Pelodiscus sinensis: one gene and its partner. The protein of the gene in region 1 interacts with the protein of each later gene in a biochemical or structural test. Links are inferred from orthologs where the notes say so. Each region holds a gene or a part of one and is shown in the gene's direction. Other genes may lie near its edges.

Region 1 (7,953 bases):
AGAGACTGAAAAGGCTGTTTACTTTAGAAAGGAGATGAGTAAGTGGTCACGAGATAGAAATATATGGAATAATAAATGATCTAGAGAAGATAATTTGGAAATTTATGTTCTTCCTGTCTCCGAGCAAGAAAGCAAAGGAACATTCAATGAAATTAAAAGGTAGCAAATTCAAAGCTGATAAAAGGAAATACTTCTTCACACAATGTGCAATTTGACTGTCGAATGCACTGTTACAGGAAATCATTAAAGACCAGAACTTGGCAAGATTAAAACAAAGATTGGACATTTATATGGAAAACAAGAACATCCAGTTTATAATTAAGTATTAAGTAATTAAATGTTGGAAAGAATGTTAAACCTTCTGCTTCAGAGCTTAAGCCAAACTGCAATTATTAGATATCAGTATGAGACCAAATGTAGTGGATAAATGATCTAATATCTGTTTGTTTAGTTGTTTTGGGGAAGGTGAGTTATTGGGGTTTGGCTTTTGTTTTTGTTCTTCACTTGAAGCATCTGGTGGTACCACTGTTGAAGACAAGATACTGAACTAGATAACCCTGGGTCTGATCCAATATGGCAATTGCCATTATATTAATTTCAATTAGCTAATAATAAACAAGTAAAAAACAACAAATAGTCTAGTAGCACCTTACAGACTAACACAACATGTAGATGGTATCATGAGCTTTCGTGGGCGCAATCTGTTCATACCTAATTTTAATTGTGATGGGTTGTATTACAGCTTGACCTCCAATGTGCTGATCAAGCCACTGGTGCCTGCCTTCTGGGGATCCTCACAACCCTGTCCCTCTGGGCCAGAAGCTCTGATTCCCCCCAGCCAAGGCATAGAGTTGGGGGTTACAATCACCCTTCAAAACACCACAGATGCTGAACCTGCTCAGCTCTGTGAGGACTCAGCTATAACGCTGCTGGTAGCACCCAGGAAACCAACCCCACAAAGGAACCAAAAGCTAAAATAATTTAATCTTACTCTGTGTAAAACTTACACAGAGAAAGCTCATAAGGTCAGCCTTTTTTATCAGTGACAATTGTTTACACAGTATGAGGTGACATGATTACATGTCTTTCTAGGATCAGCCTCGTGTTTGGGCTTACAAGAAATAATTATGGGTCACGGTTTGAATACTGAGCCATTAAGTACCTGAAATATCACTAATGGACCTCATTAGCACATTTACAGTTAAAACCAGATTCACACTTCGGACTTCCAGCTTCGCATACAAGAATGATACACGCACAAAAATACGATATACAGACTCAGCAGACTGCAATTTTGAAAATATGCTACATGATCTCTTTTGCATAACACATGTTCATGTTATGCATATTCATATTTATAAACCAGTTTTCATAAAGCATGGGGGCATGTGACCATGACATCTATATTTTAGACAGCTAGAGCAAATTGAGATTTTCTTGTGGACTCTGCTGTAACTGGACTGAGGTAAGTGCTGTGTCTCATGAGTCACCAAGAGTTTCAATGTCTCAAAACAAAATTCTTTTCCCACTCCCAGTTCTTTGACACAAAAATAAAATATAGTGACACAAACATTTGTGACCTTGTTTGCCTTTTCCTTTCTCTTTTTGATGAATTGACTAATCCCTCCTGTACATGTTCCATCTACATTCATTTTTCCTCCCCTTCCTAATTTTCCTCTCCGGTTAGATGTCTCCAGTGTCTTTTTAGTTCCCAAAAGATCTTCTCTTCCCTTCTGCCTCCACTCTGGCAGGGCAGGAGGAGACTTCATGCGCTCCACCTGCTGAGAACAATCAAGGCTTAGGGGTGGAAGGAGAGTGTGAAGTTTCCTCCTGCCCTGAAAGGGGCTCAGCACTTAAATCAACTGCTGCTCAGCTGGTGATTGGCTCTAAGCAGGGTGCTCCCTTGCAGGGCTGGGGCAGGGAACGAGAGACTTCATATGCTCCCCCTTCCCAGGCCCTGATTGAGCTGGGGGCATCAGGAGGAGCATGTGAAGACTCCTCCCACGGCCAGGAGCAGAGGTACCTAGGGGGAACCACCAGCTGTTATCAGCTGGCAGTTCTATAGGGAGGCAATCAGGGTAAGTGGGTGGGGAAGGATGGAAGTGCCGGGGCCCCACTCTGTCTGTCTGAGGCCCTGCCCCTTCCAGGGCAGCTCTGGGCCACTTCAAAAATTTCAGAAATTTTTGAAGTGGCTCCTGGTCAAAAGTTATTGCCCACTCCTGCAACAGTCTGTATCTGCCTTGTCAGTGATCTTCACAAGCCACTAAGTGTCAGAAATGCAACTAATAGAAGAAAAGAGACAGACACAATGGCAGACAGACAGACACAATGGATGCGTCCAGACTGGCAAAATCTTGCCGCCTGTCTACACTGGCCGCGAGTATTTGCACAAGAATACTGACTTTGTACTGTTCAAAATTAGTGGTTCTTGCGCAAATACTCCAACGCTCCCACTCAGGGATAAGCCCTCTTGCGCAAGAGGGCCAGTGTAGACAGCCAAGTTGATTTCTTGCGCAAGAAAGCTCAATGGCTAAAATGGCCATCGGAGTTTTCTTGCACAAGAGAGCGTCTACACTGGCATGGATGCTTTTGCACAAAAGCAAATCTTTTGCGCAAAGGCACAATCCAGTATAAACGCTCTCTTGCGCAAATACTTTTAACAGAAAAACTTTTCCGTTAAAAGTATTTGCGCAAAATCATGCCAATCTAGACGCAACCACAGGGTGTCTTAACTACATCCCTCTTTCAAAAGAGGGATGTAGATTAGGCAGATTGAAAGTGCAAATGAAGTGGGAATTTAAATATCCTGTGCTTCATTTGCATAATTACATCACAGCATTCTTTTGAAAAAGGGTATTTCAAAAGTGAAACTGCTATGTATACCTGAATCTTTCAGGGTGGGGGTGGAAACCTTTTTCAAAAGATCCTGTACTCCTCCAAAAATGAGTATAGGAAAGGGTGTATTTTTTTTTTGAAAGAACCATGTTTATGCATGCCCATAGAGAATATGTTTCAGATGGCAGCAGCCTCCATTCTTTTGTAGCAAAGGTGTCTTCTATTCAGGGTGCTGATTGGAATGCAAAACTTTCTATCTTCTTGCTTAACGGGAAGGTGGGTTCCATGTGGTTTCTCTTTACTGGGAATGTCAGCCACTCAGCCAGTAAAGAAAAAACAGGAGAGTGGCCAAGAATTGTGTGAAGCATTGAGCTGAGGTTGCTGTAAGAATGAATCTGTGTGGTGTGCCAGAGCCAGACCTGTATTCACAGGTTCAGTATTTCAGTGTTCTTTCCTGGCAGGAATATTTGAGTTTGTGCTCCAAAAGTTAATGGATGCCACTATAGGACAATCACAGCAGATTACTGTATCATTACTGGAAATAATATATTCAACTTGGACTTTTTTGGACTTTTCCTTACGGAGTAGAGTCATTCAAGTACAATTTTCTGCACTTAAGTTGCATTGGCTTTAACTTTCTCTTCCATGAATGTTGGTTTAAAATTAGTTCATTTTTGCCTTAAACTTTTATTGTGAAATAATAATTCCAGTAGTTATAATGTTGCTATAATAGATGCCTCACTTGTAAAAACATAAAAAGATAGTAAATCCAAATGCAGTTGGAAAATACATCCTACTGACTGGGAATAAGAATGATGCAGAGAAGATGACAAGCAGTTGCCCTCATGAGTCCTGGTACAATGGATCTGAGCTGGAACACTTCCTCAGCTTTACTTCTGGTTTGGTGAAATTTTAGACCAGTATCTGAATGTGACAGTTACAAAAATTAATGTTTATTCTGTTATGGTACTTTCATATCCCTCTCACTACCCTCTTTTTCCTCCTTGGATGACTTGCAAGGTCAATGTCCTTTTACCAGTGCAACAACTTGCTCTCAGACAAGTTGCTTCAGTGGTAATGCTTATGTAATCATTTTTCGTTACTTGTATTAATAGAGCGCTATACACGGCTGAAGTCTATGTGCAACAGGTGCAGTTGCATCTGTGGAAACAATGGAAATTATAGCATAGATATGCACTTGTTTTTACAACCAGATTTTCTCCTAGAAGTTCATTTCAGAGACATTGTGTACATATTTCTCTATTGTACTGTCTGTGCTGATTGGGGTTCATTAGTCTCTGAGTTGTGTGGTAGCCTAATGTGCCACTTTCTTTCAGTGACTACTGAAAATAACTCCTACAACCAGAAGAAAACTTGCAGTTGTGCACAGTTGTAGTCTTGCAGCAGTTTGAGGAAAACTTTTTTGGGGTAGGGGGTATCTTCAGTAGTGTATTTTTTTCTTTCCCATTACTGAACATCTGTACCCTGGAAAGGGACAAGGGCATTTTGTAAGTATGGTGACGGGCTTTGCCATAGAGAGAAGAAACGTGCTGCAGAAACTGCAGGGTAGAGTTGCATAGTGGGGTTGGATTAATTCCTGGTCGTTTTGTAATCTTATAGGAATAATTTTTAAACAAAGTAATCTTTAATTTCTGGGTAGACCAGGCCCCTGGGGCCCAGGGGTAACCCATGGCACCAGAGACCTACTGCACGGCTGGAGCAGGATCAGAGGTTGGGTTAGTCGTGGGATTTCCAGCGACTTCGTTCCAGTGCCCCTGTCCTATTAATACCAATTGTTACAGTACAGGCGCTGAGTAGCACTTTCTGCCTATACACCTGCTTTTGCGGCTCTTCGTGCTGCAACCTGGAGCGGGCCCATCCGCAGCAGCTCCAGCAGCTCGGTAGCACAGAAGCTGTTTGCTGATTGGCGGTCTATGGCGGGAGGCGGCGGGGGTAACATTTCTTTCCCGCTCCCGCAGAGGGGGTGCTCGCCTCTGCTCCGCCCGGCGCTGCCGCTGGGAACCACGCGGGGGCGCCGCTGCCAGGCGCGGGGCACTACAACTCCCGACGGGCTTTGCGGCGGCCGCGACCCGCGGAGGGCGGGCGGCGCGCGCGCGCACACAGCCTGCTGAGGCCGAGCTGGGCGCGGGGCCGGCGCCCGTGGTGGAGAGCGGCCGAGGGAGGGGGGAGCAGGAGGCGATAGAGCCGTTGGCCGCGGGCTCCATTCATCGCCGCCGCCGCGCGCCCCGCCGCCATGGAGGCGCTGATCCCGGTGATCAACAAGCTGCAGGACGTGTTCAACGCCGTGGGCGCCGACATCATCCAGCTGCCGCAGATCGTGGTGGTGGGGACGCAGGTGAGCGGGCCCGGCCCCTGCGCGGGGAAGGGCAGCAGAGAGTGAATGGGGGGGGCTGGCCTCGCGTGGGCCCCGCCAGCCTGCGGGGGCGCCCGGCCCCGCCCCCAGGGGAGCGCCCGGCCCCGGCAGGGCTGTTCCCCTTTCGGCGGGGGGCGGGAAGTGGCCGGCGCCCGCTGAAGGTGACTGCGCTGCTGCCCCCCGCCTGCCGCGTCGGGCCCGCCGCTAGGCCCCCGCTCGAGCCTGGGCTTGACCTTCCTGCTGCTGCGGCCGCGCGCGCCGTTGGGAAGGGGGGTGTAGGAGGAAGCTCGGCGCTGGCCAGGCGCCTCCCCCTAACGCAACATCTGTCCGTCCCCCCCCCCCCCCCGCGTCGCTCTGCTCTCCTCTCACGTGGGGACGTTGAAGATCCCCTGCAGGTATGTGACTCTGTGGTGGTACATGGCCCCTGGGTGCAAGGGTTTAAAAACCACAACCCGGGGTTGGCTCAAAGCCGTTGCAACAAATGACTGTTTGAGTGAAGCCCTGCTAATAGGTTTTGTTTTTTTTTTAAACGTACTATTATTTCAAGGCATGCTACCTGCTTACGGGTGGCGTATCATTTTCTTTAAGGCAAGTTATCAAACTAGAGACCGCTCCTAAGTTATCCTGATCAGACTGAGAAATAGTTCTTAGAAAAAGCTTCCTGTGTAGTGTAGGGGTGTAAAATCCCATGTAATTAGTTAAAGGAGGGGGGGGGGTCTGAAGCAAACCGCTATTCCATCTTCTTTGGCCAGGCTGGAGCACCCCTGCTGCATGCCTGAGCTGGGCCTGCTGTGGCTCTGCTGCTTCAGCCCCCAGCTCCAGCCCCTATCCCTTACCCTGTCACCAGTAAGCTTCACCCATTAAGGGCAAGGCTTACAGCTTAATCTTTGAGTAGTGATAGAAATGTAGCCGTGTTAGTCTGGGGTAGCTGAAGCAAAATGCAGGACAATGTAGCACTTTAAAGACTAACAAGATGGTTTATTAGATGATGAGCTTTCGTGGGCCAGACCCGCTTCCTCAGATCAAATAGTGGAAGAAAGTAGTCACAACCTTTCTTCCACTATTTGATCTGAGGAAGTGGGTCTGGCCCACGAAAGCTCATCATCTAATAAACCATCTTGTTAGTCTTTAAAGTGCTACATTGTCCTGCATTTTGCTTAATCTTTCACATCCCTAGCTGTGTTTGAAACCCAAGTGTTGAGTACAAGGACACTGAAAGTGAAAGGAGTTAACAGTAGTAGAACTGTTGTTTTTTTTTTCATTTTCTACACTTGGAAGAATGCAGAAAGTGAAGCACATATTTAGTTACCAACTAAATTCAATTTTTAAAAACCTTTCATTTTTATGTAGTAATTTAAGGCACTCTGTGGGTTAAAAAGGAAAGGTTTACCGTAGCTATGTAAGTTGACCATATCCCTGTAATGATAATAGCAACTGGAATAGAAATTAGGCAGTGCCTATATATTTTGGCTTTACTTTGTGGTATAGCTACGTGAACAGACTAGAAATGTTAAAGACTAGTTAATTATCCGATAAACTTATCAGATAGTCTTTTGACTAGTCGATTCCCCCCTGCTCCCCGCTGCCTCTATGAGAGAGAGGCAGTGGGGGGAAAGGTACTTAAAAGTGGCAGTGCTGCACAGTTGGGGACTCTCCAGCTGACCCTGGGTTCCGCTGCCACAGCGAGCCCGGGATCAGCTGGGAGTCCCTAGCTGACCCTGGGTTCTGCTGTTGCACAGAGCCCGGATCAACTGGGAGTCTCCAGCTGACCCTGGGCTCCACAGCAGCTACCCCTTTGAAATGCCAGAAGCGGCATTTTAAAGGGGTAGCTGCCATAGAGCCTGGGATCAGCTGGGGATTCCCAGTGGCATTTCTCCAGAACCCAAAATCTGCAGCGCTGATCCCGAAGGACTCGGAGTCTCTTGCTGATTCTGGGCTCCATGTATTTGATATGCACAAGAGCCCCTGGGGTCTCCTGTGCATTTCAAAGCAGGCACCTGTGTGCAGCCCAGAATCAGAGGGACTTCCCTCTGGCCCCAGGTTGTATGCAGAGTTCTGCATTCCTGCGGGGGCTCTTGTACACTTCAAAGGAGGAGTGTGGAAGTGCCTGTTGACTAGTCAATTAACCACATTTTAACATCCTTAGAACAGACTCTTGAATCCCTGCTGACTTCAGTGGAGCTTTCCATGGGTACAGCTGTGTTACATGGATCTAGCTACATGGACTCACCTGCAGGATTGGTACATCTCCATCACAAGCAGGATCTCATGACCGTGAGTCTGAGCCTGTGTGTTCAGACTGGAGCTTGAGCTGAAGCATTAAAAATAAACATATAGACATTCAGATTCAGGCAGGATCTCTGGCTTTCAAGCTTGTTCCTCTCTCTAGGCTTTAGGGCAGCGGTTCCCAACCTTTTCGAGATGGGGACCCATTTTGACAATTCAGGAAGACTTGGTGACCCAAGGTAGTTCAAAAACGGGGGGAGGAGGAGAGGCAGAGCCACCTGGGGAGATAGTGACCCTTTTAAAACGTAATGGCCAAGGGTTGATAAATTATGGAAAACCCTACTCGCCAGACAAAAAAGGGACTTGCCACGCTCCCCCACAAAGTGGTTTTTTTTAATGGCATAAATTCCTAATAAGAATAAGAACAGTAATTACTAATAAGTTATTAATAAATATCACCCAGGTTATTAATAAGTATCTTATAAACCTCTGCTTTTTCTCTCTGCTGCCATGTCTCC
Region 2 (7,475 bases), on another chromosome or scaffold:
GAACCCAGGAATCCTGGCTCCCCGCCTATTCTCACTGATTCTCACTTCCCTACAGATGCTATCACTTGGGATAACTATGAAAATTCCTTGGAGTTCATGTCCGTCTGCAAACGCTCGCTGGACTGAAGGGCTTGAAGGCCATCTTGGAGGTACCAGCTGGGTTTGGCTATGCTGCCCCACTGGTTGATGTGTGGTGGCTGCACACTGCCCCCCTGGATTTGCTCAAAACTGGGGTGAATCTGCCCCCAACCACTGTTCCCACTGAGATTTTCCATCCATGACCGGAGTGAGTTTTGTTATGTGCACCAATACTGAGGTCATGTGCGCTTGTGCAGATGTGTTCCACCGTGGCGTCTGCCAGTGACTATAAATATCTTCTATAACATTTTAAATATTATATATATATATACTGCAAAATGTTCAGTAGCCATTTGGTATCTTACATGTATCCGTTCCTTTGAGGCATAAAACAAAATTGTCCATTTTCTTGATATAACAAAGAAAATAGTTTATGATTATAATTGATACATGAAACGAAATAGTTATCACTGTAATCTTGCATTTCAAGCATAAAGTGTATGTTATTTAATGGGCTCATTTCTGAGCACTATGTGCACATATTGCTCCCTGTTATTGTAGCCAGACAGAAACCCCGCCCCCCTCTCCCCTCCTCTCTCTGACATCCTTGAGAGAGAGAATCCTTGAGAGCGAAACTCTGTCTTCAAAGGCTCCAGGGCCTCCAGAGGTGCTGGAATAACAATGGCCCTGCTAGACAGGAACCAGATAACAGGGGGGATTGGGCCAGCAGGCGATCGGGGCCTTGAGCTGCCCTTGGCTGGTACCAGTATTGATACGCCTACACACACAGAAGAGGAATCTGCCACCCCATCAGAAAGACTGTCTGGCCCTAATGATTTAGTTACCTCCACCTCACAGGTGCAAATTAAGCTTCGGACCCCCTGTGGGAATGGGCGTCACAAAGACGTTCCAACTTAATTGGCATTTTAATGATAAGAGAAGCGTCTACATGACCACAGGGGTATAAAGTGGGGCCCTGTGCTCCACTCTAATTGGAGATCCATCCATATACCTGCTGGTCAGGTGGTTTTGGACCCCTGAGACTTTAGGGACGCCTTCGTCTCATATCGACTGCTTCCCGTTGGTATTGAGAGAAACGCTGGCTTTGCTGGAGTAAGGATTGCAGGGGTGTCTGCTAGGTGTCTGTTTGTGCGCATTCAATAAGAGCTCAGAGAACCAAAAGGGTTTCATGGTACCTTTAAGTGACTTTTCATTGTATTTTCTGTGTTGTCTTTTGTAGTGGCTGCGTTATCTGTAACACAGCAGTAACATTTAACAGCTAAGCTTGCCTTGTAACAATAAAATAGTAACTGTTTAAGCTTTAACTTGACTCCTCCTGTTGCTGTAACAGAACCAAACACAATAAAAAAGAACCATAGCTGGTCAGGGGTAAACGCAGTAAGAGCTGAGCGTTGAGTCGTGCCGCCTCCACAGGGCAGACTCTTGGGGTGCCTGTCAGCCTCCCTGGCTGCCCGCTGTGAAGGGACTTTTGTCCTAGCAGTTGAAGTCTCAGGTGTAACGAGCTCTCTCTGCACCACCTTGGAGCACCCGTCAGCCTCCCTGGCTGCCCGCTGCGAAGGGACTCTGTCCTAGCAGTTAAAGACTCGGATGTGATAGAGCTCACAGACCATTCATTACCTCGGCCACCATCTAACAGTTATCTAGGAAACAGGGTTTGTTTTAAATATTTCAGTGGTTTACAAATCACAAATCGTACATTCATCAAAGCTGGTGCACATCAGCTCCGTGGAAAGATTGAGGAATTAAATCCTTCTGCATATTTTCTCTCTATATATTAAAGAAAGTTCTTCCTACAGGGCAACAGAATGACGCCATCACGTCACTCTACATCACCCTGCCCCCCAACCCCAATAGAGTCCCCAGAAAGGGAAAATGCGGCCATGGCTCAGGGTTGTTCTCCGCACTCCCCCCTTGGACTTCCTGCTGGCCCCCGGCTTCCCTGAAGGAGAACCAGGGGGCAGCAGCAATGGCTCCTTGCTGTGCTGGCAGGACCCAGGGGAACTGCCACCTCCAGCTGCTTGGGCCAGGCACACTGGGGCCACCACATGCCTGGAGTTCCTACCTGGAACCCTCCCAAGATTAGCGCTTCAGTTGAGGGGAAGGAGCCCCCAGCCCTCCCCACAGCAGCGCGTGCGCTTCTCCACCAGATGCCTCCAGCGTGGCGGGTTGGGGTTTTCTCCCCCCCCCCCCCCCACTTGCAGGAAGCCGGTGCTAGCATTGCCAGATGGTTTTGACAAAAATATCGGACACACTTGATCTCAGATGCGGGGGGCGGACCCGGCCGCGGGGGGAGCGGGGCTGGTAGGAGAGATTGGGGGGGAACTGGCCGGTGGGGAGCAAAGCTGGTCAGGAGGGGGTCAGGGGGAGTGGGGCTGGCAGGAGAGATCGGGGGGAACTGGCCAGTGGGGAGCAGGGCTGGTTGGGAGGAGGTGAGGGGGAGCAGGGCTGGCGGGGGATATCGGGGGGGGAACCGGCTGGTGGGAAGCAGGGCTGGTCTGGAGGGGGTCGGGGGGAGTGGCTATGACTGGGGGAGATCGGGAGGGGGGGAATGGCCAGCGGGGAGTAGGGCTGGCCAGGACAGGGTTGGGGGGAGCAGGACTGGCCGGGGGGAAGAGCGGGGTGGAGTGGACTGGCCTGTGGGAAGAGGGGCTGGCTCGGGCACATGCAGATCCCGGGGCGCTGCCTGTCCGGTACTAGCGGGGCGCACAGGCATGTTCCATCTTGCCCCAGCCCCCCTTCCTCTCCCCGCCCTCCACTGCATATTTGCCTACTGCCTGGCTGGTAGACACACTCGCGCAGCGTGGGCACATCTACCAGCCAGGCAGTACGCAACTACGTACTGATACTCATGATAATAATAAAACGTATTTAATTAGAAAATACCGGACATTTATATGTTCAGTATTTCTCAAATTGTTTCCTGGACAGAAAGCTCAAATACCGAACTGTCTGGTTCAAAACCGGACACTGGCAATCCTAGCTGGTGCGTTAATCTTGCGGGGCAGGAGGAAGGGAGGGTTCCAGGCAGATGCTCCAGGCACATGGAGGCCCCAGTGTGCCTGGCCGGAGCAACCAGAGGCGGCAGTTACCTGCTGGGTACCAGAGCGTCAGGGGCCACCAGTGCAGTGAGAAGCTGCTGCTACCACTGCCCTCTGTCTCAGCCTGGGCCTTCCTCCCGTGGCCAGAGGGGGGCTGAGAGGGCCGAGGGGAGGAGGTGGCCGGGGTTGGCTGCAGCTGGAGAGGGAAGGAATAGGGGGGGCCAAGAGGCCAGGAACAAGGATGGGGGAGCCAAAGAGGAGGCCAGGGCTTGTTGCGACGGATGGGGGGGGGGGGAGACAAGAGGCTGGAAGGAGCTGCTGCGTGGCTCTGCTAATGAGGTGGGCATGTCTTAAATTCTTCCTGCATGCCGCACAAGCGCGCACCCTGTTGGGAACTATGCGCCCAGCTTGTGCCCTGGAAATCTGGGCCCCACTGTGCTGCATGCAAAGTCTGAAGTAAACATATCTCCACAGTGTTGGCAGGGGAGTCCTGGCTCTCTTTTCCATCTCATCACCTTGCCTGGGAGGGGAGTGGGATGTGGCAGTTTGGAGTAGGGTGGGAGCCAGGACTGTCTCCTGGGGTCTCTTCTCAGCTCTAGGAGAGGAGAGGGGGCAGGAGGGTTAGAGCTGGGAGCCAGGACTCCTGGGTTCTCTGTGCCCTTTGGGGAAAGGGATCTGACGAACAGAGCAGCAGATATGGATATCAGGACAGTAGGGGAAAAAATGGGCCTGAACTGGCGCCTGCCTTTTTTGTGTATGTGGTAGGGTGGAGGCAGTTCCTCTTGGTCTGATGTGTCTAATGTGGGAGGAGGGACTGGGTGTGGGGGGGGGAAGGAGGGGTGTTACCACCCTTGTTTCCAGGGAAGTATGAGGGGTGGGGGGTGTTTCACTTCTACACCCCACTTTCAAACAGTTTCTTGGAGATACCCTTTGAGTGTCTGCCTCCCCCAAGGGGGCTCATCGCCCAGGATGGGCAGCCAGGGAGCCTTACTGCCCCCTTAGACTGGCAGGTTTGCTGTTATGAGAATGAGATTCTGGACACGCCTCCACACGAGGGAGGGGTCCCTGCCGCAGCGTCTCGTTGCCATGGTGAAGAAGGGCCCGCCCATGAGGGCGTGACCAGTCCCAACGTCACTAAGCGGACTCGAACGCCGCCAATCCCGTACGCATGCGCAGCTCCCTGCTCGGCCTAGCCCCGCGCTACGCAGGCGTAATCGCCTCTCCCACCGCCATTGGAACAGGATTGGGCGGGAACTGAGGGGCCGCGACTGCTGTCGCTTTGGGACAAACAAGCCCTTCCCTCCCTGCCCCTCCCGTCTCGGGGCCAGGCGGCGCATGCGCAGCTGCCGGGAGGGGGGGGCGGGGCGTATGAGTGGGCGGGACCCTGTGTGGTGTGTTTCCCGTTCCGGGGCGCGCGGCGGGTCAGTGCCGGGGGGCGGGGGCGCCATGGAGTCGGTGTTGAGCGAAGTGGTGGCGGTGGAGGACCTGCTGGTGAGAGGCCCCGCCCCCTGGAGAGTCCCTATTCTCCCCCCCCCCCCGCGTTCCCCCAAACCTCAGCCCCGCCCCCCACTCCGTCGAGGGTCCCCTAGTCAACATCCCGCCCCTCCCCCAGGGTCTCCTGCCCAGTGTCCCCTTCCACCCCCCCTCCCATTGCGTCCTGGCCCACTCCCTCACTGACCTGGGCCTTCCAGGGCCGTGTCCCCCTCCCCCTCGGGAAATACTGCCCTGCACTCTTCACCCCTCCCCCCCAGAATCCTTGGGTTGGAAGAGATCTCAGGAGGTCATCAAGTCCAGCCCCCTTTCCCCCCCCCCGCCCAAAGCTCCCCACCTCTGGGGCCTGAGCTCCACCTTGTAGGCATCCCCCCCTCCCAAGATCCTCTGTCCTGAGACTTTAGCCTAGGCCCCAGATCTTCCCCAGGCTCAGCCCCCTTCGACCTGGCAACCACCCCTCATAGGGACCTGCTCTCTTTCAGGCCCCCATCCTATCAGGATCCCGTCACCTGGAACCTATCTGCCCCAGCGTGTAATCCCATCCTGAACCTTTAGTTTATTTCACTCTCCAAGACTATCCCATGGTCCTGCTCAAGGAGTCCCTCTGCTCTATGGCCACTCCCCTATGGCTCTCTCCCTTCTGGAGTTTCTGCTCCCTCCCCATCCCTCTCCCCAGGCCTTACTGGCAGTTGTATCTGCTTCCCATAACCCTTTAAATTGTTTGCCTCTGTTACAAGGGCAGCAGCACAGGGTGGCAGCAGCTTCTGTCTGGGGGAGGGGGTCTAAGTTCCTGGACCCGGCATGAGCCAGAACTGAGCTGGGCTGCTGGCCAGCCTTCTAAACAGTTTACCGGTGGGGGGTTGGAAGGGGAATGTGTATAGTCTATTGCATTAACCGATAAGCTTTTGCTAGTTGGTTAAACGACTATACTATGGAGCAAGTGCATGTAAGTTTGGGTTTTACCACTTTTCCCTCCTGCATATGCCTGATGTCCTTGGCCTTTAGGCTGTAGGGAGCGCTTCCTAAAAGCAAAATTCTGGGCTGTTCTACCTTTTTGCTCCTCCCCCCTCCCCATGAATACCTTGCTGCAAGTCAGATGCCTCTAACAGTGTGAGGGGCAGGGAGAAGGAAGGGATGGATGGGGCTCTTGCTCCCTTCTTGGGATATCTTAAGCTATGTAAACGACCTGCCCTAGTATTTGTGTGGGAAAGGACATGCGGTATATGTGGCTTCAGGGATGGTTATATTGGGGTGGGGATCAGGAAAGCAGAGCCCTGTGTAAAACTCTGGGGCTTTGCAGAGGCTTTTCCCTCGCTATCAGCATGAACAGCTTGGAAAGGGCCCCGAAGTGAGAGAGTAGCCTGTACAAAGTGAGACTCCACATCTGTATGTGTTAGCTATGTCTCAGATGGGTGTGGCTGGTGTGGGGTGAAATGGACTTAATCCCACCAACCCCCCCAAAAAATAAGCACTGGTGTTTTCAATTAGACTGATTATCTATTGTAACAAATTTGTGTATTCAGACCCTGCTTGGCTGCCTTTCTGGAAGAGCTGTTCAACCGAACATCAGAACAGCCACGCTGGACCAGACCAATAGTCCAGCTAGCCCAGTGTCCTGTGTTCAGACTGCGGCAGGTGCCAGGTGCTTCAGAGAGAATGAACAGGACAGGGAGATTTATTGAATGGTCCATCCCCTGTCATCTTGTCCCAACTTCCGGCCATCAGAGGTTTAGGGACATTTGCAGCATGGGGTTGCATCCTTTGGCTAATAGCCATCGATGGACCCTCCTCTAGGAACGTAGCTAGTTCTTTTTGTGATCCTTGTTATAAATTTGGCCTTACCACAAGCAAAAAAAATCACTCTGTTTCTCTCTCCCTTTCTAGGGACCACACCTGCAAAGTTGCTGCCCTGTTAGAAAACCCCTATAATCTTCATTTCCACTGGATTTTGTCTAGATGGCATAGGCCTTTTCCACCTATTTTAGAGGTCTCTTCTGCTAACAGTCACCATAATGTCTGGATATCGGCCAAGACCCTAGTGCACTTGATGGTGTGTCTGGTGCATTCTTCCTTTGTGAAGTCAAAGCTCTGGTTAGAGGAGGCTCTTTGGTTGTGGGTTTTTTAAGAAATTACCCCCTCCCCATACTATGTTTCAGAAATAGTTGGTAATTTGGGAAATGGCTTTGTTTTACTTGTCTGGGAGTTAGTTAATTGCGTAGAAAGAGGTGTCATTTTGGCTGCAGTTGATTTTCAAGCAATAGGTCTCTTTTCATAAAGGGCTCTTGGACTTTGGGTTTTGATCCATTGATAGCTTTGAGGATTACGGCAAAGGCCCTACACTGGCATTGAAAGCTGACTGCAACCCAGTGGAAAGACTTGCATGTAGATCCAGAGGGACCTTGGGTCATCTAATCCTATGTTTCTCAATGGCTGATCCGTGGACTGGCACCAGTCCATCATATTCCCCTGACACAGTTTAGGAAGGCAGTAGGCTAGTCACTGGTATCAAAAAGGTTGAGAAACACTGACAGTTTTTGCCCAGTTCTCCCTTGGATTGAGTCCAAGAACTTGTGTATGACTAAAACATCTTCTAGAAAGTCTGATTTGGAAGATGTCAAGGGATGGACTGCTTTCCCAAGGGGGTTCTGATTACTTAAAGTTGCCAGCTCTGAGTCTTGCACACGGCCTGCTTCTGAGTCAGTCAGTAATTAGCTCTTTTATAAATGGAATAGCTCTCTGTTCCCTTCATTATGAGATTGAGGAGGCTGGGAAAGGTTCTTTTCCTGACTTAAGCATCTGTGGTTTCACAAAGATGTTTATGGAGGCCAGAGTGAAGGGAAAGCAGTG

Evidence for each region.
Region 2: the proteins of DNM1L (region 1) and FIS1 form a complex in vitro, tested with the Homo sapiens proteins (2 studies listed by BioGRID). The link is inferred for Pelodiscus sinensis from reciprocal best matches to the Homo sapiens genes DNM1L and FIS1.

Annotation. Positions count from the first base shown.
Region 1 is NC_134711.1:105,496,793-105,504,745, reverse strand, and holds the start of DNM1L (dynamin-1-like protein), read left to right. Parts: upstream 1-4,952; 5' UTR 4,953-5,089; coding exon 5,090-5,191; intron 5,192-7,953. UniProt on the Homo sapiens protein: Functions in mitochondrial and peroxisomal division.
Region 2 is NC_134734.1:11,581,147-11,588,621, reverse strand, and holds the start of FIS1 (mitochondrial fission 1 protein), read left to right. Parts: upstream 1-4,471; 5' UTR 4,472-4,472; coding exon 4,473-4,628; intron 4,629-7,475. Other genes in the region: snaclec alboaggregin-A subunit alpha-like, read left to right, coding at 56-126. UniProt on the Homo sapiens protein: Involved in the fragmentation of the mitochondrial network and its perinuclear clustering. Plays a minor role in the recruitment and association of the fission mediator dynamin-related protein 1 (DNM1L) to the mitochondrial surface and mitochondrial fission.